4 linked regions of the Canis lupus familiaris genome follow. The protein of the gene in region 3 purifies or fractionates together with the protein of the main gene of each other region. This does not show direct contact. Links are inferred from orthologs where the notes say so. Each region holds a gene or a part of one and is shown on either strand. Other genes may lie near its edges.

What was found.
Region 1: the proteins of UTP4 (region 3) and UTP15 purify together in Homo sapiens (co-immunoprecipitation; 4 studies listed by BioGRID and IntAct, counting the BioPlex papers as one, with this or other methods). This does not show direct contact. The link is inferred for Canis lupus familiaris from reciprocal best matches to the Homo sapiens genes UTP4 and UTP15.
Region 2: the proteins of UTP4 (region 3) and WDR75 purify together in Homo sapiens (co-immunoprecipitation; 3 studies listed by BioGRID and IntAct, counting the BioPlex papers as one, with this or other methods). This does not show direct contact. The link is inferred for Canis lupus familiaris from reciprocal best matches to the Homo sapiens genes UTP4 and WDR75.
Region 4: the proteins of UTP4 (region 3) and WDR43 purify together in Homo sapiens (co-immunoprecipitation; 5 studies listed by BioGRID and IntAct, counting the BioPlex papers as one, with this or other methods). This does not show direct contact. The link is inferred for Canis lupus familiaris from reciprocal best matches to the Homo sapiens genes UTP4 and WDR43.

What each region holds. Positions count from the first base shown.
Region 1 is NC_049223.1:55,616,703-55,624,732, forward strand, and holds the start of UTP15 (U3 small nucleolar RNA-associated protein 15 homolog), read left to right. Parts: upstream 1-3,344; 5' UTR 3,345-3,427; intron 3,428-3,862; exon of another isoform or gene 3,863-3,935; intron 3,936-4,044; exon of another isoform or gene 4,045-4,085; intron 4,086-4,184; exon of another isoform or gene 4,185-4,369; intron 4,370-4,665; exon of another isoform or gene 4,666-4,778; intron 4,779-7,302; 5' UTR 7,303-7,377; coding exon 7,378-7,467; intron 7,468-8,030. UniProt on the Homo sapiens protein: Ribosome biogenesis factor. Involved in nucleolar processing of pre-18S ribosomal RNA. Required for optimal pre-ribosomal RNA transcription by RNA polymerase I.
Region 2 is NC_049258.1:51,883-59,701, reverse strand, and holds the start of WDR75 (WD repeat-containing protein 75), read right to left. Parts: upstream 4,336-7,819; 5' UTR 4,267-4,335; coding exon 4,181-4,266; intron 1-4,180. UniProt on the Homo sapiens protein: Ribosome biogenesis factor. Part of the small subunit (SSU) processome, first precursor of the small eukaryotic ribosomal subunit.
Region 3 is NC_049226.1:81,057,703-81,064,212, reverse strand, and holds part of UTP4 (U3 small nucleolar RNA-associated protein 4 homolog), read left to right. Parts: intron 1-468; coding exon 469-564; intron 565-3,682; coding exon 3,683-3,868; intron 3,869-5,329; coding exon 5,330-5,440; intron 5,441-6,510. UniProt on the Homo sapiens protein: Ribosome biogenesis factor. Involved in nucleolar processing of pre-18S ribosomal RNA. Part of the small subunit (SSU) processome, first precursor of the small eukaryotic ribosomal subunit.
Region 4 is NC_049238.1:22,839,843-22,846,949, reverse strand, and holds the end of WDR43 (WD repeat-containing protein 43), read right to left. Parts: intron 4,622-7,107; coding exon 4,572-4,621; intron 4,468-4,571; coding exon 4,276-4,467; 3' UTR 2,856-4,275; downstream 1-2,855. UniProt on the Homo sapiens protein: Ribosome biogenesis factor that coordinates hyperactive transcription and ribogenesis. Part of the small subunit (SSU) processome, first precursor of the small eukaryotic ribosomal subunit.

The sequences.
Region 1 (8,030 bases), on a different chromosome or scaffold from region 3:
CCCCTTGCCTGTGTCTCTGCCTCTCTCTCTGTCTCTCATAAATAAATAAATAAAATCTTTAAAAAAAAAAAAAAACCTTTCATGAATACTTTAAATGCTTACCTATACTTCATCCTTTATATGCTATGTTTACAAGTGGCTCTCAGTTTGAATTTAAGATAGAACTCATGTTGTACCCATGCCTACTAGCATCTACAACACCTGTGATTCTTGGATGGTTACAGGCTTTACCAAGTTTTGGTTATGATGAACTGAAGATATACTTTTTATCAGTTTTTGTTCAGTTCAAATGTTAGTAACTTAATATAGGTTTTTATGAAAACTGTTACTATACAAACATTATAGATTGGCTTCCTTTGCTTTATCATCTCTAGGGTATTAGGATCAAACTAGAAATTTTAGATCTCAATTTCTGTAAAAAAGTATTAAGAAATAAGAATTATAAGAATTACTTTTTTTCAAATATAGGTAATCAAGACATGAATTCAATAAATGCAAACTCTCAAAGCATAGACTATACATACACCTGTTATGGAATCATTTACTACTGTTTTATAATGCATTTTTAATAATCATTGGTACTTCCCTAAAAACCTTAATATAATTTCAAGAAAATTTCATTATTGTACCTAAAACTGCTTTAAAAAATTAAGAATTCCAAGACTATAAATACCCAATGCATATAATCCCTGAGACAGGAAGAAAATCAAAACATTTGGTTCATCTTTTTATTTAGGGTTTACTGCCTCTTAGGAATTTTGAGAGGGTGCAGGGTGTTATAAAATTGGAATTTAAAAAGAAAAATGCAGGACTGCTTGGGTAGCTCAGTTGGTTAAGTGCCTGCCTTTGGCTCAGGTCATGATTCCAGGGTTCTGGGATCCAGTCCCACGTCGGGCTGCTTGCTCAGCAGAGAGCCTGCTTCTCCCTCTCCCTCTGATGCTCCCCTGCTTTTGCTCTCTCTCTCTCTCAAATAAATAAGTAAAATCTTAAAAAAAAAAATGCATTAGGATCACAGTGGAACAGAGGCTGGCAAACCATACATTTACATATGACCACTATTTTCGGTTTTAAAACATTTTCCAAGATTGATCCTTATAGCAATCCTTTGAGTAGTGATGGTAGTTAACTGTTCTTTCCTATGTAGAGAAGAGGAAACGGGAGCTTGTATATTATGATGGACCCATCCCGGGCTTTGGCTACATTACCTTGACCACTAAAATAAGAAGCAGCACTATACTAATCCAAACTTCCAAGGGACAAGGCTGAAGAAATAACAAATAGTAACAATAGTGATAAAAAGAGTAACAGGAGTAACAGGTAACAAAGTCAACATACTTCAGCAAAAGGAAAGAAGGAAACCAGAACAGAAAATGAGCTATGATTCAAATGGAGATGGAGGAGCAAAGGGCTTTAAAAATGTATCGCAAGATATGAACTGTTTCCTGAGAGAAGAACCATCTCCCACAGACCCCTGCGCAGAGCAAGGGTCCTAAGCTCTCTTAGCACACTGCACTTATTTCTATTTTCAGTATTTTATCGTTCTCTTGAAAATTTCCACTTAACTCCCAAGACATGGAATGTAGGATAGAGACCACTACTAATCTCTGCACACAAGGCAGGGTGTGATGCTATCAGGTGTTCCAGAAACGCTTCCTGACCTGAACTTTGACATCGTTTCCATATTCTTTTCTATCCTGAAATGACCCTGCAAGATGCCCAGCGAAGGCTTTGCTAAATGAGCTTCAGCTTCACCTTCTTCTCGACATCACCACTCACTACCTGTGCGACCCTGGACGGAACAATCACAATACGATTTCCGAGAGTCATTTTATTACTTTATACAATTTAGATGGTTGAAATAGACATCTCTAATATTCTTTGTGGCTCGAAACATCTTCAACATCGTAAAACTGGGTTTAGGGGATCCCTGGGGGGCTCAGTGGTGGAGCGCCTGCCTTGGGCCCAGGGCCTGACTCCAGGGTCCCGAGTTCGAGTCCTGAGTGGAGCTCCCTGCATGGAGCTCCCTGCATGGAGCCTGCTTCTCCCTCTGCCTGTGTCTCTGCTTCTCTCTCTCTCTCTCTGTGTCTCGCACGAATAATAAAATCCTTAAAAATAAATAAACAGGGCAGCTCTGGTGGCCCAGCGGTGGAGCGCCCGCCTTCGACCCAGGGCGTGACCCCGGGGTCCCGGTTGGAGTCCTGCTTCCAGGCCCCTGCACGGAGCCTGCTTCTCCCTCTGCCTCTCTGTCTCTTGTGTCTCATGAATAAATGAATACAATATTTTATAAAAAAAACCATACAAACTTGGACACCTGCGGGGCTCATCATTGGGCACCTGCCTTGGGCCCAGGGTGTGATCCTGGAGACCCCGGATCGAGTCCCCTATCGGGCTCCCTGAATGGAGCCTGCTCCTCCCTCTGCCTGGGTCTCTGCCTCTCTCTCTGTGTCTCGCATGAATAAGCAAACAAAATCCTTAAAAATAAATAAACAAGGCAGCCCCGGTGGCCCAGCAGTGAAGCGCCCGCCTTCGACCCAGGGCGTGACCCCGGGGTCCCGGGTTCGAGTCCTGCATCCGAGGTCCCGCGTCGGGCTCCCTGCATGCAGCCTGCTTCTCCCTCTGCCTGGGTCTCCCGTGAATAAATAGATAAAGTCTTTAAAGAAAAAAATAAATCTGGGTTTATAGGCGGAATGGAATTCTAAGTCTCGGAGGGGGAAACCGGGGCGAGGAGGCGGGGGACGGAACATGGGCCCTGCAGCTCCTCCGAGACTCCAGGGACGGGCCGGGGCGGAGGGGGGGGGTATGGGGGCGGGGTGGTAGGATGGAGCCGGCCGCGCGGCTGGGGGCGCAGGGACCCGGAGACCCGGGGGCCCTGGGAGCAGCAGCCCCGCCCCTCCGGGACCTGGGGTCGCCCGGGGTCACCCGAGGTCGCCTGCAAGGGAAGGAGGCGCCACCGCCCCCGCCGCCCGCCGCCAGCTCGCCGAGGGCCGCAGCCCGGCGCGCACCCCACCGGCGCGGGGCCGCCACACTACCTTCGACCGCCGACAGCCCGTCGGGCCTTTCCATCTGCGGCCCCGGGCTCCGCAGGCCCCCAGCCCCGGCTGCGTGGGAGCGTGACGTCACTTCCGCCGCCTCCTCCCGGCTCCCGGCGGCAGGAACGCCCCGCGTCGCCGCCCCGGGAGGCCCTGCGGGGTCCTCCCCGCCGCCGCGCGGTCGTCGGGGCGCGAGCACCACGGAGCGCCGGTCCCTGGACGAGACCCGACCGGGCCACCGCGGCGACGCCGCCCGGCCCCGCCCCGGCCCCGGCCCCGCCCCTCTCGCGCCGCGTCACGCGCGCCAGCCGACGTCGTTGCGTCACTGCTGTGCGACGCGCCGGAGCGTGGGTGCCGAGTGTCGGCGGCTCCCCGGGAGGCCCGCGCGGTCCTGGCAGGTGAGCCCGGGGCGCCCGGAGCGGCGGGCGCGGGGAGGGCCGCGGGGGCAGGCTTCGCAGCCGCCGCCGAGCCTGGCTGCCGGCCGCGCGGCTCTGCGTCCCCGCGGGGCGCTCCGCTCCCGCGTGTCTGCGCTCACCGCGCCCGCGCGGGTCCCCGGGGTCGGGCCGCTCCCACGGGCTGCGGGCGGCGCGGGCGGCCTCGGGGCTGCGGGGAGGGCGGAGCCTCGGCCCCGAGCCCTGCGCGCCCCGCGTGCGCCGGCGGCCGCCCGGGCTCTCGTCTCTCCCGGGCCGCGTTCCTCCTCGCCCCCTCCACGTTGGGGCGCCCCCCCTCCGCGCCGCTCCTCCCTTTCATCCGCCAGCCGCTTCATTGTAAAGATTTTATTTATTTATTCACGCAGGACACAGAGGGAGACGCAGGCAGAGGGAGGAGCAGGCTCCCCGCAGGGGCCCGACGCGGGACTCGATCCCGGGACCTGGGGTCACGGTGCTCAACCGCTGAGCCATCCAGGTGTCCCCTCCTTTTTTTTTTTTTTTTTTAAGAGATTTTATTTATAAGAGACAGAGGCAGAGACACAGGCAGAGGGAGAAGCAGGCTCCCTGCGGGGAGCCCGACGCGGGACTCGATCCTGGGTCTCCGGGGTCGCGCCCTGGGCCACAGGCAGGTGCCCACCGCTGAGCCCCCCCACCCCACCCCCGGGGCTGCCCGCTGTTAGAGCTCTAAGGGGTTTCTCTGCAGGCGGAGCTCTGAACTCCGCTGCGGCTGCTGTTGTAAGGGGTGGTTTTGCCTGCGATGCGGTGAGAGGGGGAGGCCCGCAGGCTGGAGTGGAGGGGTGGAGGCCGGCGGCTTTTTTTTCCTCGGGCAGCCGCTGAGCCTGGAAGGCTTTCTACAGGTGAGTATTTGCAAGGTGTCCGATGATAGGAAACACGGACCTCGAACCCGAAGTAAGTGAAGTGCTTTTCCCTTCGTCCAAAAAAGTCTCTTCTTTTCACTCGTAAATAGAAAATTGTACCTATAATTATTTGGCAGGGGGGTGTTTGTTATTTAAAAAAAAAAAAAAAAAGAGGGATCCCTGGGTGGCTCAGCGGTTTAACACCTGTCTTGGGCCCAGGGCGTGACCCTGGAGTCCTGGGATCAAGTCCCACGTCAGGCTGCCTGCATGGAGCCTGCTTCTCCCTCTACCTGTGTCTCTCTGCCTCTCTCTCTCTCTCTCTCTCTCTCTCTCTCTGTGTCTATCATAAACAAATAAATCTTAAAAAAAAAAAAAAGAAAAATGGGGGGGATTTTTTTTTCTTGCCTGCTTTCTTATAACTACATAATCTCCGTTTTGCCTGTTGGCCTGCAAAGCCTAAGGTATTTATCATCAGGCCCCTTAGAGAAGAGGCCTGTTCACTCTTGCCGGAGTAGTGTTTGTACTATCGACACCACTTGTGCCTTTAATTTTGTTTTCTTCCATGGAACCCAGCACAGTGCTTCCTTTCATTCCTTCCCCAGGTTTTCTTTAAGCACTTAAGAAAGTCTTCCAGATAGGAAATTAAGTTTAATGGGAAGAAGAGAGTATTACAAACGCAGCGTTGACAGTGCACACTGACAGATGTGCACAGTGAAGTGCCATTAGGAGTTCAGAGAAGGGTGGAGGGTCTGATCCTTGAATTGAGCTTTAAAAGATAAGAAAGAAGTGGGTAGAGAAGAGTTCACTCCTGGCAAAGAGGACAGATGAGCAAAGACAGAGAAGAAAGAGGAGGGTGTGTTAAAGGGATAGCAAGGGGGTGAAGCTGAAAAGGTAAGTTAGGGCCAGATCATAGGGTGTGTTGAGCAGGTCGGACCCTTGTTTTCAGGTAGTGTTGTGCTTTGTAGCAAAAGCTTGATTTGCTGTGTAGTCAGGTCTTGCTGACGGCTGTTTAGATGATGGGCAAGGGAGTCAAGGAGACCTCACATTGCGCTGTTTCTGTAGATGGGAAGGTCTAGATCGGAGCAGTGGAACCTGGCGGAGTGGACGTGATGAAGTTTAGGGAGGTAAAATCAGCAGGTCTTGTTAATTCTTTGGGTGTTAAAAGTGAAGAGGAAGGACAAGTCAAGGCAAATTTCATATTCCTAGCTTCTGCCACTCACCAGCTAAAATGGAAAATATCGGAGGGTGTGAGGGCACTGTTTGTTTTACTCAGTGTTGTACGTCCAGAACCTAGAACAGTGTCCTGTATATCGTAGGTACTTGCACAGAACAGTTTCCTTTTGATCGTTGGTTGCTATGTTTCATCAAAACAACCTTTAGAAAATGTCATACCTATTTATTTTGGTGTTATTGGTGCACTCTTTTCAGGACTTTTGAAACAGATGATGATTTGCACCACAGATAAAATGAATTTCTTTTGCAGTTGAATAGTCCTGGAGAGACATTTTGGCTTAATTCCATGTCAGTTAAAAGTTATAACTCATTTTTATCCTATTCTGTCATTTATTTATTTTTTAAAAGATTTTATGTATTTATTCTGAGAGACACAGAGAGAGAGACACAGAGACACAGGCAGAGGGAGAAGCAGGCTCCATGCGGAGAGCCCGATGTGGGACTCGATCCCAGGACCCCGGGGTCACACCCTGGGCCGAAGGCAGATGCTCAACCGCTGAGCCACCCAGGCGTCCCCTATTCTGTCATTTAAATTGAGAATTTAATTTCAGAATTGCTTTATTCTTGTTTCTTTTCATTTTAATTTTTAAAAAATGTTTATTTTAAGCTTTTAAATTGGAACTGCATCAGAATATTACCTTTTATTTTTAAGCTTTTTAAAAAAATGAACGTCCATCTTTCTTTTTTTTTTTTTAGATTTTATTAATTTATTCATGAGAGACAGAGAGAGAGAGAGAGAGAGGCAGAGACACAGGCAGAGGCAGAAGCAGGCTCCGTGCAGGGAGCCTGACGTGGGACTCGATCCCGGGTCTCCAGGATCAGGCCCAGGGCTGAAGGCGGCGCTAAACCGCTGAGCCATCCGGTTTGCCCTATTTTTAAGCTTTTATTTTATTTTTTATTTTTTTATTTGAAAAAAATTTTTTTTAAAATTTTTATTTATTTATGATAGTCACACAGGGAGAAGCAGGCTCCATGCACCGGGAGCCCGACGTGGGATTCGATCCCGGGTCTCCAGGATCATGCCCTGGGCCAAAGGCAGGCGCCAAACCGCTGCGCCACCCAGGGATCCCTATTTTTAAGCTTTCAAATTTAATTTTAAGCTTCTATATTAGAATATTAGCTTTGTTTCTATTTTTTTTAAGATTTTATTTATTCGAGAGAGAGAGAGAGAGGCGCAGACACACAGGCAGAGGGAGAAGCAGGCTCCCTGTAGGGAGCCCGATGTGGGACTCGATCCAGGGACCCCGGGGGTCACGCCCTGAGCCTAAGGCAGACACTCAACCACTGAGCCACCCAGGCGTCCCTAGCTTTGTTTTCCTTTTTGGTATTTGTAAGACTTTCAGGAGGTTAAGACCCTAGACCATGTTCAAATAAATTAAATGTCATCCTAAATTTAGTTTCAGGAGACTTGTATTTGCAGTTTCACGTTAATGTTTTTGCGTTGTTAACAGTCTAGGCCAGTGGACTACTTCTGCTTTGGCTACTGGGTGGCTAAGCGAGATGTATTCCCGTGTGTTATAAATTGGTTAGTTAAGTGTGAGAACATTTGTGTGCAGTTTTGTGTATAACTGAATGGATGGTGCACTTTGGTAGCCCTATCTGTATTCTACTTGCATCTTCTAGATTGTTTCTTCTGTGTTAGAATTAAATGGTTTATTGGTCACTACTACACAGCCTTTTGAAAAGACACAACGTGAAAATGGTAACTATACAGGTTTGAGAATAATATATATAAAATATTTTCTTTTTCAGACATAAAGCAGTCACTTATTTCTAACGTCAGTTTCAACTATTTATCCTTGGATAACAGTCCAACCGAATGAAATTATGTCTGGGTACAAGCCTGCAGCTATTCAGACATATCCTGTACTTGGTGAAAAAATCACCCAGGACACACTGTACTGGAACAACTATAAGGTAAATGTAGATGGTAATGAAGGGTTTGCGTTTATGCTTATTTCTCCAGCATTTGTTACACTTGGGATACTCTAATAGAGAACTAATAACTAAAAAGAATCTATCAGCAGTTTAGTTTGGGTGGGAAATTTGATATTTGATAGTTTTTCTTGGAATTTTTAAAATAAAAGTCCGTATTGGTTAGTGATTTTAATCATACAACTGCCTAGCAGAGAATAAACAGATGATTAATGGATGCCAAGTGAAATAAATTTTTGAATTTGAATCTTGCATTATTTTTTTCTTTTGCTTTTCTCAAACTAAGAAGTGATGCAGAATTCTTCCAGACTGTCTACAAAGGCTTGGAAATGATTTTTTAAAGAAAATGAACAATTAAATACAAAAATGGAAAAAGATTGGGATGGGAGGCTTATGGGATAAGAAACTTTTTTAAATAAGATTTTATTTATTTATTTGAGAAAGAGAGAGAGGAGAAGCAGGGAGTATCAGCAGAGGGAGAGGGAGAAGCAGACTCCCTGCTGAGCAGGGACCCTGATGTGGGGCTCCATCCCAGGACCCTGGGA
Region 2 (7,819 bases), on a different chromosome or scaffold from region 3:
CTTTGGTGATTTGACCTGGTGTACTTGGAACCACTTTTTCACTTGAAAAGCGTGCTCTAGTAAAGTGGTTCACAACTCCAATATCCTTGCACTCCCCACAGACACACTCCATTAATACTAACAGGTCCCCTGAGATGGTGGTGGGGGAGAGGGTACCATGTGCCAAGAAAACTCCAAACTGATAGGCTTCCCCAGAGGAAAGGAATGTCCTCTCTCTCTTTGCTCCCTGGCAGAGAATGGCTTTAAATTTGAATGCAAGCTCCCAAAGGAAAATGCTCTCTCCAGGCTTTGGTATATTTTGTGGTCTACCCAGAACACTTTATAATTAATTCCTTAAGACAAATTCAGCTCAGGTGAAGCCTCACATTTTCTCACTCCACATCAGCACCACTCTGAATGCTTCTACAAGATGGCAGGCTTAGCTCTATCACAGCACTTACCACATGACATCCTTGGAAGACTTCCCCTACCAGACTGTGAGCTCTTTCAGGGGAGGAAGGGTGCCTGTACTTATTATAAATCCAGTAACAAAAGTATCGTATGGTAGGGAACGACGCATTTTTTAACTAGTCAAACACAAATAGGTTCAAACGCCAGCTTTACCACAAATGGGCTGAATAATATTGGGAGAATTAACTTCTCTAAAATGTCACTGTTCTCCACTCTAAGATTTCTCACAGGGTGACTATGAGGATAAAATGAAACAACACATGCAAATGCACCCTTAATACACACAGTATACACTCAGTAAATATTTCCATACAATTGGGATAATAATACCTAACCTTGTAGACAGAAATGCATGTAAGCACCTACCACAATGCTTGTCACATAGGACTCAACTCATCTTTGTTGATGAAGTGGAGAAGCAAGAAGTTAGGGATGCTTTAAAGCAGGAATCAGGACTTAAATGAGGCTCTGAAGGATGCATAATTTAAGAGCTGGGAAGGAAAAATAGCAACATAAGCAAAAGCTGGGATACAACTAACAAGAAATTGGAAATGTACCTTTCTAACAAGCAAAGTGTGTACAGTGGGTTATGTCAGGAAACACACTGGATGAGCAGACTCAAGCTAGATCACGGAAGGCCTTGTAAGCCAAACAAAAGAGCAGTATTTAAGGACGGCAACAAAAGATTATTACAGGGTTCTGAGCAAGACTAAGGGTGAGAATAATAATATTATGACAGTAACACAAGGAAAATTATTACAGCAGCAGTACACAGAATGGCCTGCAAAAGAAAAATATCTAGAGAAGGACATTAGCTTTGTGAGAATTCAGGAATGCAAATGGCAAAAATGACTTCTTTTAAAATCTTTTATGCCCTAGCAACCTAATGCAGAGCATCCTGTAAATGTGGGAAGTAACAGGATGTAATACAGACAGTGCTGGACCTGGAGTCCGTGATACCAGACACAGGAATGTCACCTACTGTCATGGACACCCAGCGCTCGGCTTGCCTCTCAGAACACCCCCTGCACACGTCTTTGTGTCCTAATTCCAAGAGCACCCAGTGACCAGGAGAATGTCTTGCATATGCCACAATTCTATGGTTTTATTTACTGTTTCAGATTTCTTGATAAGCTCCCTGAAGCAAAATACAAAATTACCTTATTCTTTCTGTATTAACTAACCAACGCTTGTTGATAATCCTCAACTCCTTGATAAGTTCACTAAAACCCTATTAATTTGCTAGAGAACTGATTTTAATTGCTACATTCTACATAGATAACAAAAACCGAACAACAACAAAAACATAGCTAAATCTTCACCAAATTCCCCAAACTTCAGTACTGAATTTCTACCTAATCCTTGCTTGTCCAACTGGTCATTTCCCTAACCCTTAAACTCAACAGCCCCCCAGATGAACTCATCATCTTCTCAATAATCCTAATTGCTACATCACTCCAAAATGGTCTTTTCATCTTCAATATTTTTTTAAAAGATTTTATTCATGAGACAGAGAGGCAGAGACACAGGCAGAGGGAGAAGCAGGCTCCCTGCAGGGAGCTCGATGCGGGACTCGATCCCAGGACACTGGGGTCACACTCTGAACTGAAGGCAGATGCTCAACCGCTGAGCCACCCAGGTGTCAGGCATCCCTTTCATCTTTAATATTATCTTAGCTCAGGCCAAAGTAATGTCTTGCTTGGATGCCTGCATTAGCCTTTTAAGCCCTGGTGTATACTGTTCCAGACTCTTCTCCCCTAGACTTATGCTGTACTGACCGTACACACGTGATACTCCTTATCCCTCACATCACCCCAGCAATTTAAAGCTGCACACTTTGCCTGGATATCCTCCCCCAATATCACTGGTGGGGCAAACTCCTGTTACTCTTCCAAGATCCTATAGTGAAGGGAAACCTCAACATCACTCTCCCTTCCACGCCAACACTGTACCTCTAGTATGCTAAGCCAACCCACCTCTGATCTTGCTGCTCTCCACCACTTATTACACAGTTTTATAAATGGGTTTCGGATTAATTTTTCTTGAAGAAACACAATCATGTACCTCCCATCGTTCTCCACCTATTGAATAAAAATATACACTCTTTGGACCAAACGATCAAGAGCCGGCTTCATGTTCCTCTTCCGTCACGAGCTCTCTTCATCCACCATTCGTACTAGCTAACTGGACCATAGTCTGTCCAGTATCCTCAGGCTTCTACTCCTTTTGCCCGTGCCCGCTATCTGCAACGCCCCCTGTCCATATCCCCTAGTCAGGATACCACTCACCTGCTAAGGCCTAGCCTAAATATCACTTCCTTGGGAACCGCCCACCCTCAGTCTGAAGTGCTCTCTCCTACTTAGGAACTTCCAAAGTACCACACTATGAAACACGTTTCAAATTATTTTCTTTTCATCATCAAGACTGTAAGGTCTTGAAGGTAGGATCTATATTAAAGTTATCTTAATTTCTGTCGTATCAACTTGTCATAAATAATACATAGTTGACAAATACTTGAAAACAAATTGTAAGACTTAGCAAAGAAAATACTGCGTGTCGTTACAGTAAAATGGAGAGACAGTACACGGGGGAAAAAGAGAGTGGATACCTAGATCTAGGCCCAGAGTGGCGGCACTTTGGCACCCTTTAAGTCTCCATTTCTTCCTGATGTAGAAGATAAATATCAACAAAACCCTCTTTCATGGAAGGATCAAGGATTTACTCTTAGGGCAGTTTATGAACGCTCCTGAAAGCTCCTTCAGTCTCGCCTGCGTTCAACAAGTATCATACGGCCACAAGCAAGATTTTGTGAGGGATATGAACTTTCCTAAGCTATTATCTTGACTCTTCCAAGACAGAAGGTGTTTTTACTAAGGGTCACCGGCCTTAAATTTGAAACCTCTTCCTACAAGGTATCACTTCTACATGATGCTGACAAGGGAGCAACAAGGAAGATGACAACTGACGAACACTAAGCCATTAACTGCCAGGCTGTTTACTTGCTTTCTACGCCTGACAGCATTTAAGCAATCTCAACAACCCTAGGAGATGGATTACAAAATATTCCTGTTTTACGGGAAAAGCAACTGAAGAGAAGATTAAGAACTTGCAAAGATCACACGACGGAAGAACCAGGTTTTAAACCTAGCGAGCATCTTAGTTTCCAATCACACCGAACTCCTGAGAAAAGGGACCAGGGTTTACATATGTTGTTATCCCGCACAGAAACGAACACCCCGATTCATCACGCAAAGCTGCCAAAGGTTGCCAAAATACTTTCCCCGAGGTGCCGCGGGGACCCTGCGCCCACCCCTCCCGAGGTCCTACCAGGACCCCGCGCCCTCCCCCCCGCCCCGAGGTGCTGCGGGGACCCTGGAGCATCTCCTCCCCAGGTGCCGCGGGGACCCTGCGCCCGCCCCTCCCGAGGTCCTGCCGGGACCCCGCGCCCACCCCTCCCCAGGTGCCGTGGGGCCGTGCGCACACCCGCCCCCCCGCCGCGCCGACTCGGGGGCGCGGGGTCCCCCGGGCCTGCACCCACCCGCGGGCGAGCGGCCCCGGGCAGAGGCGCGCCCAGCGTCGGGGTCACAGCGCGGAGCTTCCACTCCGCCGCAGCCTCAGGCCCCGGCGCCCGCGCGCCCCCCGAGCCCGGGACCGCGGGTCCGCGAGCCCGACGCGCCTGACCTCTGCCCCCTCCCGCCTCCACCCGGCGGCCGAGGCCGCGGCCCCGTACTTGGAATCCGCGGAGAACTCGGCTCTCCGGAGGTTGAGCTCGCTGCCGCCACAGCGGACCACGCGGACGGTCCCCTCCTCCGCCATCTTCGCGCAGGCGCAGAAGCCGCGGGGGCGGCCCGCCGGGAACTTCCGCCGGGGGCGGGGCCGGGCTGGGGGCGGAGTCGGGGCGGCTCCTCGAGGCCGCAGCGTCCGTGGCGCGAGCTCCGCTGGGCGGCCGTCTCCGTGTGGGCGGCGTGAGAGACGTGCGGGCTAAGCGGTGACTTAGAGACCCGAGTTCACGCCAGGCGCTCCCGAGCTCTAACCACCGCGGCTGAGCCTCTCTCCGGCCCACAGTCTGCTGGTCGCCTCCCTCCGCCACAAGGGAGACCCCCCTCCCCGCGTGTCCCGTGACCTCCCGTCGACCCTCCTTGGCGTCTCCCGTGACCTCCCGTGACCTCCCGTCGACGCCCCCCCCGCGTGTCCCGTGACCTCTCGTGACCTCCCGTCGCCCCCCCCGCGTCTCCCGTGACCTCCCGTGACCTCCCGTGGGGGCCGCCTGATAGATGAAATGTGTGCAGGATGATGTGGGACGTGACTCCAGAACTGGGACCTTGAGCACTGAGGTCACCATGTGCCGTGAAGGAAAGACTGGAAACAGACTTTGGGGGGTGCCCCTGGGTATGACCGTCCTACGAGCCATCTCAACGCTGAGGCTGAGTGGGCTTCCGCTCCTGCTGCAGCCTAGCGGATTCTCTGCCGGAGATAGAGACCCGAGAGCCATCTGCGTGCGGGTGACACGGAGGCGCCGCGGGGCAGGCTGAGGTCACCGATGGGGGGAGTGTACCTAGAACGTGGAGCGGGTCCAAGGACTGAGTCTGAGGCATCGGGAAGGTGAAGAAAAAACCCGCAAATGATTGGGCAGCTTAAGAAGGAAAACAGGAGGATATATGCCATCAAAAAAAGTCAAAGGAAGAAGGAGGTAGAATCGATCCTTCTGTCATGTGTGACTGATTAAATAACTGGAAGACAACTGACTGCTGTCCTGAGCAGAATGGAAATCACTGGGGGCTTTGATAGCAGTTTTGATGCAGTGATGGGATAGAAAATGGGATTTGAGTGGGTTCGGGAGAGGATAGAGGAGTACAATTAGAGACAGTAGGACTCCTTCAGAGTTTTGGTGAACGGAGAAAGGAAGAAACATGATAGCTGGAAGGGAGATGGAGGGCGTTCATGAAGACAGGAAACAGAGGTAAGATTATTTTATTTTTTACAGATTGGAGATGTATTGGGAAGTTTCATTATAAAAGAAAACTTTTGTTGCTGTACTGATCTTTTTTTTCTCAGATTATCAAAATGGCATCTCAAAATTTAAAGACTACAATTGAACTCTCAGATCTCAGGTTGAGAGAGTGGGCAATAGGGAATAACTTCATAAAGCTAAAAATTGCACATTTTAATGACAGCTATGCAATAAAGCTCTTAAGTAAAGCTATGCAATAAAACGAACTTAAACAAAACATTATAGTTTTAAGTACCTGGCATTGCAAAATACTTTATGCCAGCCATATTCCCAAAGGATCTTCTATTTATATCAACCACTTACTAAATTCTCTTTATTATATGTAAACAAGTAGTTAATCTTAGCTATACAGAAGAAGTACCTGGGTTACTTTAGAAAATAATGAAACCTGATCCAACCCCCAGAGATTCTGATGTATTTGGTCTGCAATTGTCACCTAGGCACCAGAGTTATTTTTTTAAATTGTGGTGACCTTTACATACATAAAGTTGTTGGTAGTGACATTTAATATATTCACAATGTACAACTATCACTCTCTGTATCTATCATGAATATTTTTGTCAGCGCAAAAGGAAAGCCTTTACCATTAAGCACTCACTACTTATCCTCTCTCAATTGCTAGTGTTTAGAAATAAAAACTGATTTTTGTGTATTGGTATTACATCCTACAACTTCGCTGAATTCGTTTATAGATCTAATAGTTCTTTATTGTGTATACCTTAGGATTTTTTAATTTATCAGATCATGTTATCTATGAATATTTACTACTTCTTTTCCAGTTTGTGTATTTTTTGTTTCCTTCTCTTGCCTAATTGGTCTGACTAGAACTACCAATACAAGGTTGAATAGCAATGGTGAAAGTGGACATTCTTGTTTTATTCCCGATCTTAGGGGGATCAGTCCTTCACTATTATGATGTTAGCTGTGGTTTTTCATGAATTCCTTTTATCTTATTGAGGAAATTCCCTTCTATAATTAGTTTGGTGAGTGTTTTAATCATGAAAGATGTTGGATTTTGTCAAATGAATTTGCTGTGTCAGTTGAGATGATTGTGTGGGGGTTTTGCTTAATTATATTAATGTGGTGTATTACAACATTGATTTTCATATTTTGAAACACTCCTGCATTTCTGGGATAAACCACTTGGTTATAGTGTATAATCCTTTTAGTATGCTTTAAAATTTGGTTTGTTACTATTTTTTGAGGATTTTAATTTCTACATTAATAAGGAATATTGACCGATAGTTTCCTTTTCTGTGGTGTTTTTGGCTCCTGGCATTAGACTAATGCTCGCCAAATAGAACAAGTTAGGAATTGTTTCCTCATCTATTTTTTTCTAGGTGATTGTGAAAGATTGGTGTTAATTTTTTTTTTAAATTTTTATTTATTTATGATAGTCACAGAGAGAGAGAGAGAGAGAGGCAGAGACATAGGCAGAGGGAGAAGCAGGCTCCATGCACCGGGAGCCCGACGTGGGATTCGATCCCGGGTCTCCAGGATCGCGCCCTGGGCCAAAGGCAGGCGCCAAACCGCTGCGCCACCCAGGGATCCCCGATTGGTGTTAATTTTTAAGAATATTTGGTAAAATTCACCAATAAAGCTACTTGCTCCTAGACTTTGCTGGGAGGCTTGTGATTGCTGATTCAGTCTCTACTTGTTATAGGTCTGTTGAAATAATTCTGTTTCTTCTTATGTTAGTTTTGGTAATTCATAAGTTTCAGAAATTTTCTCATTTCATCTAGGTTTCCTAATTTGTTTGCTTATAATTAATTGTTCATATTTATTCTATTATAATCTTTTTTATTTATGTAAGATTGGTAGTAATGTCCCCACTTTTATTTCTGTTCTTAGTTATTTGCATCATCTCTCTTTTTTTCTTAGTGTATCTAAATGTTGTCAATGGAACATTTTGTTAATCTTTTCAATTTGGTTTCATCGATTTTCTTAATTATTTATTATTTTCTATTTTTATTTATCTGCACCCTTTTTTTTTTCATTTTTTATGTATATTTTTACCGGAGTTCAATTTGCCAGCATATAACACCCAGTGCTCATCCCGGCCAGTGCCCCACTCAGTGCCTGTTTCCCAGTCACCCTTTCCCACCTGCCTCCCCTTCCACTACCCTTTGTTCGTTTCCCAGAGTTAGGTGTCTCTCCTGATTTGTTTTCCTCTAATTTTTCCCTACTCAGTTCCCCTCCTCTTCCCTATAATCCTTTTCACTATTATATTCCCTGTATGAGTGACACCATGTGATGATTGTTCTTCTCTGATTGACTTATTTCACTCAGCATAATACCCTCCAGTTCCATCCACGTCGAAGCAAATGGTGGGTATTTGTCATTTCTAATGGATGAGGA
Region 3 (6,510 bases):
GAGTTTGCCTGCTAACTGCATTACTTAATCTTGATGACCTTGTGGCAGGAGCACGTACTGCTCTTTGAACTTTGCCTGGCATTTAAGAGTGCACATGTCTTGCAACTGTATATACATGTCCATGTCTAGGCATTAGTTTCTTTTTTATCTAGTGTAGAGCTATAGATTCCTTGTTCAATGACATATTTATGAGCAATTCATACAGATAGAGGGATGGTAGCAAAAGCTTTACTCTGAAGTTTTCTGCAAATGCAGTCAGTTTTGTAAGCAGTTACATGTGGTTTTGTGTTTGCTTGTTTTAATGAAATTTAGGTTTATTTGGAGATACTGCCTGATGTTTTGGGGAGCTTCCATAGAACTTTTTTTTGAGTTCTAAGGAACATTATTTAAAACCACAGACCTAGAGCATCCAGCCTTCCCTGAGGGAAGGTATGTAGAATTGTCTTTTGTATCTGTTATTTGTTCCAGCTTCACTGCACAGTACCTTCCTATAATTTCCCTGTGACTGCTCTGGCCATCGCCCCCAATACCAACAACCTTGTCATCGCTCATTCTGACCAGCAGGTAAGAGATTCCAATGTTTTCTAATTCCTTTCTGTTGGATAGTAACTAAAAAGCTAATGACAATTTTGGAGGAGCCTTTGTTTGAATGTAGTGGAAGATACACAGGTAGTTTTCTCTTCTGCAAAGTAAAGCTTCCATGTATCTAGCTTGGGTATTTATAGGCCAGTAATATCCTTTGGCTTGATGGGCACAATGGAATGATGAAGCTCTGAGATTATAGAGTAAAAGGAAGGATTTTGAAGTACTCATTTTATTGGTTATTTTAATTTTTTTTTTTTTTTTTTTTTAAGATTGTTTTACTTCTTTCTGAGAGAGAGCAGAGCTAGCAAGAGAGAACATAAGTGGTGGAGGGGGAGGGAGAGGCAGACTCCCCTGCTAAGCAGGGAGCCCAATGCAGAGCTCGATCCCAGGACCTAGAGATCTGAGCCAAAGGCAGACGTTTAACTAACTGAGCCATCTCAGTGCCCCTCGTTATTTTAGACTAGAGATGATATGGACCCAGGTGTTAGACTGGATATGGGATGGAATAAGACCTTGAAGTTGGGAGTGACTAAAAAAATCATGAAATTTGCCTTCACTTTGGCAGATACAGAAATTAGGCCATTGCAAAGAGTAGCCAAAATGAGTGCATAGCCTACTGCTTTTTTCTATACCAAATTGTAAGAAAATCTTTAAAATAACTGAGTTATAGCTATTGTGAAATGGAATACATTGTGAAATGATCAGTACTTGACGATGATCCTGATCTGTAAAATGGGCATAATACCTCTCTCATTGAGCTGTTGGAAAAATAAAGTATGGTCTGAGTAGCACATATAAGTAGATTGCTGGGCAACTGATGCTTGCTACTTTAATAGTTTTTACACTCACGTGTGTGTGTGTGTGTGTGTGTGTTCAATCCACAAAATGAAACCTTTCATTTCAGTTTCGTGAGTTTGTGACCTTGTTCAGTAACCGAAAGATTAGTGAAGCCACATCCTTGTCTCTTTTTTTTTTTTAAAGATAGATTTATTTATTTATTTATTTATTTATTTTATTTATTTATGAGAGAGAGAGAGCCCGACGCGGGACTCGATCCTGGGACTCGGACTCCAGGATCACACCCTGGGCCAAAGGCAGGGGCTAAACTGCTGAGCCACCCAGGGATCCCCCACATGCTTGTCTTTATCACACATAATGTCCACCTGATGCCTTTTTCTGGCAGTTGGTCCCTTAGGTGCTTTAAATCTAGTAGGAAATTTTTTTGTACTTGTTAGGTTAACAAAAATCAGTACAGTTGATAATGCACAATGCTGTGAGGATACAGGAAATACCACTTCATACACTGTATATATTAGTATGGCCCCTTTAGAGGACACTTTGAGATGCATTTTTAAAAATTAAATACACATAATCTTTGAATCAGAAGTTCCAATTTTAAGAGTTCTTCCTGGGATGCCTGGTGGTGCAGTTAGTTAAACATCTGACTCTTGGTTTTGGCTCAAGTCTCGATCTCAAGGTTGTGAGATAGAGCCCTGCCTCAGACTCCATACTCAGCGTGGAGTCTTCTTAGGGTTCTTTCTTCCTTGTGCACTCACATGCTTGGGCGCGCGGGCGCACTTGCACTCTCTCTCTCTCTCTCTCTCTCAATCTTTTTTTTTTTTTATGATAGTCACACAGAGAGAGAGAGAGAGGCAGAGACATAGGCAGAGGGAGAAGCAGGCTCCATGCACTGGGAGCCTGATGTGGGATTCGATCCCGGATCCCAATCAGTCAATTTTTTTTTTTTTAATTTTTATTTATTTATGATAGGCACACAGTGAGAGAGAGAGAGGCAGAGACATAGGCAGAGGGAGAAGCAGGCTCCGTGCAGGGAGCCCGATGTGGGATTCGATCCCGGATCTCCAGGATCGCGCCCTGGGCCAAAGGCAGGCGCCAAACCGCTGCGCCACCCAGGGATCCCACCAATCAGTCAATTTTTAAGAAGAAAGAAAAAGTTATTCCTATAGATCTATGCCTTCAGTAGTACAAAAAAGACAGATAATCAGTGCAGCTTTGTAACAGTAAAAGATTGGAAATAGTGTAAATGTCCATTAAACAAATTAGATAAGTAAATCATGATACGTCCAAAAAGTGAATACATTGGGATCCCTAGGTGGCTCAGCTGTTGAGCGTGTGCCTTCAGCCCAGGGTGTGATCCTGGGGTCCCGGGATCGAGTCCCTCATCGGGTTCCCTGCGTGGACCCTGCTTGTCTCTCTGCCTATGTCTCTGCCTCTCTTTCTCTGTGTCTTTCATGAATAAATAAATAGAAAATATTTTTTTTCAAAATATGAATACATGGGGCAGCCCCGGTGGCGCTGCCTGCAGCCTGGGGTGTGATCCTGGAGATCTGGGATCAAGTCCCACGTCCGGCTCCCTGCATGGAGCCTGCTTCTCCCTCTGCCTGTGTTTCTGCCTCTCTCTGTGTGTGTCTATGAATAAATAAATAAAATCTTTAAAAAAAATTTTTAAAAAAATGTGAATACATTATGTGTGAGAGGAGCAAGAGTGATGGATATATAGCTGTAGTTATTGATACTGACATGGCTCAGTCTCCATGATATAATGCTAAATAAAAAATACAACATGCAGAATAGCATGTATTGTATGCATAAAAGATCTGAAAAGATGTAAATAGGCTCCTCTTGTTTTGGGAAGGAGAGGTGTCAAGATGACAGGGTGAATTTCACTGTAAACCTTTCTGGTTTAATTGTTTAGTGTCCTGTAATTAATTAATTAATTAACTTTTTTTTTTTTTTTTTTTTTTTTACTTTAAAAACAGAAAGGGGATCCCTGGGTGGCTCAGTGGTTTAATGCCTACCTTCAGCCTAGGGCATGACCCTGGAGACCCGGGATCAAGTCCCACATTGGGCTCCCTGCATGGAGCCTGCTTCTTCCTCTGCCTATGTCTCTGCCTCTCTCTCTCTGTGTCTCTCATGAATAAATAAATAAAGTCTTAAAAAAAAAAAACCAGTAGGCATAAGGCTGAATATGATGCAGTTAGGGTTTGTATAGATACTTTCTGGTTAGGAATCAGGGATACCTTCTAGTTTTTCTGGGTGTCAGCCTGCATTTCTTGTGTATCCTATCCTTCTTTAGGTATTTGAGTACAGTATCCCAGACAAACAGTATACAGAGTGGAGCCGGACCATCCAGAAGCAGGGGTTTCATTACCTTTGGCTCCAAAGGGACACTCCCATCACACATATCAGTTTTCATCCCAAGAGACCAATGCACATCCTTCTCCATGATGCCTACATGTTCTGCATCATTGACAAGTCATTGGTAAGTTCCTCACTGCTACCACTTGTGCTGACACTGACTTTTCTGTACTTAGGAATTTTCAAGTTCTAAAACCAAGAGAAAGGAGAATCAGAATAAAATTTCCTGACCTATTCTTTGGAGAGAGGAACTTTTGTTTTGCAGATTTCCTCATTTTCACTCCCAGGCCCCATGAGGCTCCCAGGGTAGGGGCAGGCATTTGTGTACTGTTTTTTGCTGACTTAAGCATTCTCTGCTTTTCCTGTAAACATATAAACCTAAGTACGAAAGTGATTAGATGAGTATTCAGAAGGTAACTCTCATGGGGAAGACTGTTGATTTGGCTGAATTACTTCTATCTCTGCACCCTGGGGTGGCTAAATAACACAATTTTATTAAAGGAGACACAGGCTGAGGTTTTGACCACTTTTGCCCCTTGCCTGAAAATGCTGGAATAGTATCTATAAGCTTGAAGAATTGGTCATAATGTCTTGAAAAAAGTCCAGCCAGGAAAATTTCATTCTTCATGGCTGTGATTTTAGAGGGGTTGTGAACATTTTTTTCATTTCCAGATTCCAGCCTCTGCTAGCTGCTGTTTTGATTCACCCCAATTTACATGCCTTCTCTGGACCGCTACTTTGTTTCCTAGGAGCAGTAATAGCTGTGGCCTTGCCTATAATGTACCCTGGGCTTAGATTACAACCAACACACTGTATTTTGGTATATCTGTGCAGGTGGGGGTGGGAAGGAACTGAGAGGAAAGTAGCAGATGGCCTTAAAGGAGGTGTGCATGATGTGTCACTGCAACACATCTCCCAGACCCTCTGTCCTCTGGGCGTGGGAAACGAAGCTGGCTGACAAGTGCCTTCTGCAGAATGAGTGATACAGGAAGGGCCCCTCCCACTCACTTTCCTCATTGTAACTCAGCCCAGGCAGGTCCATATTTTTTGTCAAGCATGGGTGATAAGTCCATCAGTTCCTCATGCTGGGCAGAGCTATTTCCCAAGGAAGTCAGAGATGAAATATCACTTGTTTGGCCAGAGGCCATCTCTCAAAGTGTCAGTGACATCAGTGGGGGTGGTTTGTATTTCGGTTTTGGCCTGGGGAGAACTTTAATCACTTTGCCTGTCTGGTGATCTGGTTGGGAGAAGAGTCTAGAAAGCAGAGCCTGCGTGCGCTAAGCTTCTGCACGTGCCAATTTGTTCCATCTCACAAAGTGTTACAAGACTGGCCAGAAGCTCTGGCTGGTCCCTTTGGTCTTGCTGGACTAGAGAGTACCATGCTCTTTGCTTCATGCTCCCACCCTCTTGCAGTACAGCTGGAAATGTGACTACAGCTTTTCCTGAAGTAATGGGAGTCAAGGAGGTAGTAAATGTCTCATATGATGTTCAAGGGTAGTGTTTGCCTGAAAAATCACTATAGTCCTTTGTTCTGGAGAAGCCTAATAAAAATAATGATTTAAACAGTATGCCTTTGTCTTTTTAGCCTCTTCCAAATGACAAAACCTTATTCTACAATCCACTTCCTCCCACGAACGAATCAGATGTTATCAGGAGGCGTACCGCCCATGCCTTTAAAATTTCTAAGATATATAAGGTAAAACATCTTGCATTATATTCTAGATGGTTGGTTCCTTGTGATATTATCAAAATGTAATCTCCACAGTAGGCAGACAAGAGCACCTTTTATGTGCAGAGAGCCTGGTTTGTAAAGTCAAGTACCTTTCTGAGGATGTTTGTCCCTTATGTTTGCATTTCATTATTCACACCTCAACATATGAGAGGTATGCACATAATACTTAACCAGAATGAAATACATACCTAGTGAGAAATCATGGTGGCGCTCAGGTGGTGTCTTTGTGTTAAAGCTGGCTTTAAATGTGACTTCTAAATGGAGAATTTTCCACCAGATAAATTTCAACAAGTGGAAGTCATTGGATTTATTGTGACTTCCCATTCTGGGCTAAGCCTTTCCACTATATATGAAACAAATATTCATTAAGCTTATGATACTGTAGCTGTTTTGTGCCAATTTCGAAGTTCCGCACTCATGCTTCTCAGATTAGAGTTCCTTGGGTGTCCTGGAACATTTCCTCAGGGGTTTGCAAGAATATTTTTTAAAGAGGGACATCTGTAAATTATTTAAGTATGATTAGTTTCTTAATGCATTTGTGACTTGCTGTTTGCCAAGAATTCAGGCTCCAGAAGTTAACGTTGATCCCTAAGAAGTTAGAGAATAAATGTTCTGAATAGAAAAACATGAAAAATCTTGTTGAAATCTTTTATTTGTGAACTCAGAAGTTCCCAACCTTGAGGTGCCTGTCTGGTTCAGTCAGAAGAACATGCGACTCTTGATCTCAGGATCATGCCCCACATTGGGCACAGTGATTACTAAAAAAATAAACTTAAAATAAAAGGTTCCTAACCTTGGGGGACCTGGTTGGCTCAGTCAGTAGAGCATATATTACTATTGATTTCAAGGTTGTGAGTTTGAGCCCCACATTAGGTGTAGAGATTATTTTTAAAATTTTTTAGGTAGGCTCCATGCCCAGCATGAAGCACAACATGGAGACTGAACTCACAACCCTGAGATAAAAGAGTCAGACACTCAACTGACTCAGCCATCCAGTTGCCCTAAGATTAAGATTAAGATAGATAGATTAGATA
Region 4 (7,107 bases), on a different chromosome or scaffold from region 3:
CCCACAGTCCTGGGATCGAGCCCCACATCCAGCTCCCTGCTCAGTGGGGAGCCTGCTTCTCCTCTCCCTCTGCTCTATTGTGCTCTCTCTCTTTCTGCGTCAAATAAATAAATCTTAAAAAAAAAATCAGTATGAAGTAAGAGGACTCAGAGCAACACGTAGGGAAGCCAAGATCCCAATTTCTTCAAGTACAGACTACACACTGCCCATAACACTAGCTAGTAAGACCAACCAGTTCATATCTTACTCCAATCCCACACTCTAGTTCAAAGACAATCTTCCAGTTATAAAGCCATTTACTCTGTGGCTTTCCTGTGCAGAAGGAAAACAGGTCACCATGCAGCATGAACACTCTGCTCCACTTGAGAGGTAGACTTCTCACTGTAAATACACCATTCAAATACCAATTCTTCTTAGAAGCTTGGTTAATGACTTCACTATATGAAATTGCATCGAGTCTAAGGACAAAGACAACATTAAGTTTTTGGGGTTTTTTTTTAACATTAAAAAGTTTTTGAACCTGTGAAGCTTTGACTCAGTTTCAGCGTATCACAACCACACCAGGCCAGTGAAGGCAGTCACCAAGTGGCCTCACACTTCACCATTGGCACTGCCCCTTCCCCTCGAACTAGGGCCCAGGGTAGACCAAAATGCTTTCATACCTACTTACTTCCATCAGGAAACCCTTTAACTTCAGCAGTCAGTAAGCAGAATACTTCCTCCCTCTTTGAGCCATTATTACCTACAAATATGCCAGGCAATTTTTACAGTGCTGATTTTCAACTTTTGGGTTTTTCTTTTGATGTCCCTCACCTCCTAAAGTGCATTTACAATTGCCCTGTTCTTCTCAGATCTACCTTCCTAATAAAAATTATCCACATATATATATATGAAAACCCATCACAGTACTGCCAAGAACAATCTGATTTTCTCACATCCTGTCAGCCAGCACTGTACAGAAGAATGAACTCCATCTATTCTGTTCCTCGGCCAGACTGTTTCCTAATGATGCTGTCTACACTGCTATGGCCTCTCATTCTGCATTTTCTGATCCAGTATACAATTTGGAAACACAGTGGGTCGGCATTACAGTGGACAGTACTGAGGTGCCATAACGGTGAAGACTGATGACATTAGATTAATAAACTGTATGCCTGAGTTGCCTCTAAAAGAAGGGATCAACAAATAGGCATATGAAGGGTAGGCACCATAACCACTGCGGCCTGAGAGGACTCATGGGTAACATCACTTAGAGCTGAAAAAATCATAGCTGAAGGTTTTCATGAATTCAGATTTGAAGAGAATGAAGAGTAAATAAATGTCAAACCCTCCTACCTCTCAGTGTTTCTTGGATGTGTCCCTTGGGGTTTCTCTTCTTATTCTGATGCTGGAGCATGAGACCTGGGTGTCCGTACATTCACTCCATGGGAAGCTCATGCAGTCTCGTGGCTTTATTGTCACATACCTGTCAATACCAAATCTCCATTCTCCCCTTCTTCCTGTTTGTCTCATTGACATCTCACTACAACAATCACTGGCATGTGCTGGCCACAGGACCTTTGCTTCGGCGCTTTCCTTGCCTAGAACACTCTTCCAGATACCCACTTGCTAAGTTCTTCACCCCTCTTAGTCTATGATCAAATCTCACCTTCTCAATAAACCCTAACCTGATCATGTATTTAATTCTACAACCTACACTCCCCCATGCAGGCTCCCCATTTCCTTACTCCACTTTCCAACCCCTGTAAGTTACCACCCTCTAACATACTACACAGAATTTACTTATTCTTTATACATCGTTTTTGCCTGTATCTTTTAGAACATCAGCTCCTCAGGACAGAATTCAGTGATATATATAACAAGGAACTACATATCCCCTGGCACAGAGTTGGCAATCAATCAATATTTGTTAAATGAATGAATGTACCATGCTAAGAGACAACTTCCACAGAAAAGTGTTCTCACTACCAAGATCCAGTTTCTGACCCTCAAGCACCCCTCTGCACTACAACTTCCATTCAGAAACCTAAAAACTTGACCTCTACATATGTCAAAACACTTATAACCAATATAGTCATCTGTACTGAAAGAACTTTTTACAAATTAATCTCAAATACCACTATTTAGTATTCTTGCCCCAAAAGAAGAAAATTTAAGCCAGAATCTAATCATAAGAAAACAGACAAATCCAGATTGTAAAACATTCTACAATACAGCATAATACATGTGGAATCATTTAAATATCAAAATCATGAAACACAAAGGGAGAATTCCGATTAATATAGCAGTAACACAACCAAATACAATGTGTAATCCTTGATGATGAACGGAAAGTGAACTTTTCAAAATAAAAGGTTGGGGGTGAAAAACTAATCTCAGAAAAGATGACCTCAGCCACACACTGTTGTTGCCTGGACTAGTTGTTGAACAACATTGTGAAAAACACCCTGAACCAGAAATGTCTTTGGAACAAGCCTAATTAAGCCCTCGATGTCTAACCCAAAAAGTAATTAGGAAGCAATCACTACACCCTACAGCCTTCTACTCCTTCAGGGAGAGTAAGGTATAGTGAAATCAGACTCCCAGACCACAAGGCAGGATGCAGTACATGAGCATGTAGGTCCTGGAGACTGCCACTGCAGCCTCGGGCTGTGGAAACACCACCCAGCCAGTGGAGCTGCATCGAAATTCAAAGTTCTTGGTTCATTCACTACACTACCAAGTCTAGGGTTTCCAACAAATCCTGAGCACATTTACTTTTTAATGCTAGTGGAATAAAATTGCTTTTCTTGATATATTCACACAAGCCCAACCATATGGGCTGTGTTCCTCTACATATATCACAAGACAAGCACTGGGTAAAGATGAATATTTATTCACTTTACAAAGAGAATGGTATTAAATTGTCATAAACAGTTCCATTTATAGACAAATATAACTGTACATTACACCAGTAGCTGGCTCAAACTTACTTTCCCAAGATGCTTGTGTGGCTCCAGCTCTATGAGTAGAGCACAGAAATCTCTGTTCTGCCACTGATGTTAAAAAGTCCCTCAGAGATAATGGTTTTTGTGTTTTACATATTCACAGGTGGTAAAAATAAACCCATCTCCCCTGCCCTCCCTTAGAGTTGAGCTTCCATCTGCATGTTCCCTAGTGAGCACTAAACAAATACTGGCTCATTTAAAAAAAAACTGATAATATGAGGCTTTTGTAGCACACCAAAATACTTATTTATACATACATAAAAAATCTTGAGTCAGATTTATTATTTTAAAGGTAAACAGATATCCTAACACTGCCAAGAGTGGATAATGAAAAGGAAAACATTAAATTACTGAATTATAAAAATATTTTCTTTGGAAAAAAATTCCAACAAGGTTATCATTAATATCTAAAACCAAAGAGAAAAAATAAACAATTGTTCTTTGATCCATTAGTAATTTAAATAAAAATGAAAACCTCTTCAAAAGCAGCTATAACTGAATTCTTTAAAAAGTTGCAGGTAATGAGTACTTCTAAATCTATACACTGATGATTCTTTACAGGCAACTTGCAGTCAAGAAAAATCCTTAATATGGCTAATTCTTTAGTTTTTTAATTACCATAATTTTTTGTGTGTTTTAAAAAAATATTCCACATGACAGGTTAAAAAATAAGTGGCTGTTTGGGGGAAGCACTCCAAATATTCAACCTGACTCAAATCAGATCACCTCCATTAATAGATAAGCTAGGGATACTGATATTTAACTCTTAAATCCCAACCTTTTTTTACTCCAAATCTTTAGTTACCCTTTCATATTTTATGAAAATGTACTAAATTAAAAATTTTCACTAGTGCTGCTTCATATCTGGATCTGATGAAAGATACCAACCTGAGATAAGAGCTGACTCCTTCACAAAAGTCCAGTTCTTGAAACCCTACATGGGAAATGTGTGTCTTCACTTATGTCAATTCTTGCTAGAACCAACCATACTGGGATATTATATTATAAAAATATACCAAATATTGGACACTCATGTCAGTACATTGCAGAAAATGTGTCTATTTGCTGTGTAAAGTTTATTAACATTTGAAGGAAACACTCTTATTTACACAGTGAAGTCTGGGGTGCTCAGGACAGCGAGACGGCATAGGGACCAGCACGAGGAATCTGGATATGTGCAACAGTCCCTGGCGCCTGTCCCAGAGACAACCCTTCCCAGGAGAAGTCGGCAGCATGGGGGAAGGCGCGTGCCAGAAGTGACAGAGGTCCATCAGCTTGTTCTCCATCCTCATTCTTCTTCACTTTCATTTTCAGGATCTAAGTCAGAATCTCCATTTAATTCTTTCTCACTGGCCACATCCCTGTCCTCCCCATTCTCCTCATCTTTTTCCTCAGCATCTTCCTCTTCTTCTTCGTTCTCTTCATCAACATCCTCATCTTTTTCACTTTCATTCTCCTCCTCATCTTCATCCCAGTTATCCTGTTAGAAAGAGATGAAGCATAGAAAACATTCATGAAGCCCTTGTTCATACAGACTAGAAGGGTATAAAGGCAGATTTATGGACCAAAAAACAAGGTACTCACATCAGAGTCCTTCTCTGCAATTTCATCATCTGACTCCTCTTCAGAAGATTCTGCAAGGGGAAAAACTCAGCCTTAAGTATGTGATCTACTCTGCAGAGGGCAGAGCCCTAAAAACTAAATAAACAGAGTCAGATTCTTGAATTTACTTTTAGAAATATTACATTCAGTGATCATCCATTTAAGCAGTAACATTAATAATCTTATCTGCATAAAAGTCCATTAATTATTCCACCAAGATCTCACTGGGTAGGACAAAGTACCAAAACCCTAACAAAATCATCTTAAAAAACTAAGCCAAGGATGTGGAGAAAAGGGAACCCTCATGTGCTCTTGGTAGAAATGTAATTGGTGCAGGCATTACTGAAAACAGTATGGAGTTCCCCAAGAAATTAAAAATAAAGCTATCAGATGATCTGTCAATACCATTGCCGGACATATGTCAAAGGAAACAAAATCAGGATCTCAAAGAGATCCCTGCACCGCCCCCATGTTCACTGCAGCATTATTTACAACAACCAAGACATGGAAACAACCTAGGAGTTCATTGATGGGCTGGATGGATGGTTAAAGAAAATGTGATATACATTCAGCCATTAAATTCCATTCAGCTATTAAAAAAAAGGAAATCCTCCTATTTGTGACAACACAGATGGTGAGGGGACTGTACTAGGTGCAATAACTCTGGAGAACAATACTGTATGATCATACTCATGTGTGCAGTCTAACAACACCAAGCTTGTAAGACACAAAGAACAGACTGGTAGTCACCAGAGGTATGGAGAGTGTAGTAAAGGAGTGAAAAGCAGAAGGTACCAAGTTCTGGGGTACCTGGGTGGCTCAGTGGTTGAGCACCTATCTTCGGCTCAAGGTCATGATCTCAGGGTTCTGGAGTCCCATATCGGGTTCCCATGGGGAGCCTGCTTCTCCCTCTGCCTATGTCTCTGCCTCTCACTCTGGCTCTCTCATGAATAAATAAAATCTTTTTTTAAAAAAAGGTACAAACTTCCAATTACAGGTCAGTCCTGGGGATATAATGTACAGCATGGTAACCACACTTAACAATACCATACTGTGTACTGGAAGCTGTTAAGAGAGTAAAAAAAGTTCTCAGCATAAGAAAATAACCGCAACAATGAGTGGTGATGAATGTTGATTAAACATATTATGGTAATCATTTCACAATATATATACAGAGATCAAATAATTATGTTGTATACCTAAAACAGTACAATATTATATATAATTATATCTCAATAAAACTGGAAAAAGTCTAAGTAATTAATAATAAAGTCTAATTTAGGTATGCTTTTATGTCCTTCAGTTATGTTTTATCATGTTCTCTATAAAGGTTTTGTTTCACTTATATTTCTAGGTACTTCTAGTTTTGATTGCTGCTGTGAATGAAATCTTTTTTCCTAATATATTTTCTGTAATACATTACTGAGACAATCATACTACTGACTCCTTTTTGTGATCTTGGGATTCCAGTAAACTTGTTTATTTTCATCTCATTAATGATGGTGTAACTAGATTCTGCTTCATTTTCTAAGTTGAGAAGGATAACTGCCAAGTCCAATGTTCTAGGATTCACTTCTTTCATACAATACTAGGCAGGATATGCAAAAGTAATAAAAGGTGCATTATTGTCTAGTTCCTGACTTTGTGGGAATACTTTTAAACTCTGATAAGACTAAGGAAATTCCTTTAAATTCCTAAGTTGCTTGGATTATCAATAATAAGATGATGAAAGGCTGAATTTTATTGAATTCTTTTTCTGTATCTACTAACGTATATTGTTCCCTGTTAATTTGTTAATGTGGTAACTATATTTAATAGATTTCCTGCTAATTTGCCTTAGAATCTTTAAATAAATTCTCCTTGGTAATGACATATTCTTTTACACAAGCATTTCTATAATAATCAACTTACTATTCAGGATATTTGAAGATGACCTAAAATCTTATTTCCTTAACTATCATTCTTATTTGGTTTGACTCATAAAATGCATGAGTTGTTTATACAGGACAAAAATGAATTGTTCGTTGAAAGATTGACAAAATATACCTATAAAAACTCTGTGCCTGCTAAGGAGGGGACTTGATGGGACGAGCAATGGGTGTTACACTATATGTTGACAAACTGAATTTAAATAAAAAATTTTAAATAAAACTCTGTGCCTGACATCTCTGAGCAAAGGTTTTGATTAAATCAATTTAAGGCCACTGGCTTATTCTACGTTTCTATTTCTTTTTTCTTTTTTTTTTGGTTTCTATTTCTTTTTAAGTCACTTTTGGTCATTACTGTTTCCTAAGAAATTACTTATTCTCATCTAGGATTTTAATGTGCAATGTGCTGGCATAGAAGTTTATTCATAGTGTCTTCCTATTTAAATATCTTCCACACCTAGTGTGCCTTCTTATTTACTGTACATTTGCACCTTCTCTTTTACTGGATCATATTTTTGCCACAGGTTTGCCCATTTTCTTAGAAAAAGCATGCCATAGCATGATCTTACTCACATTCATATTCTACAAAA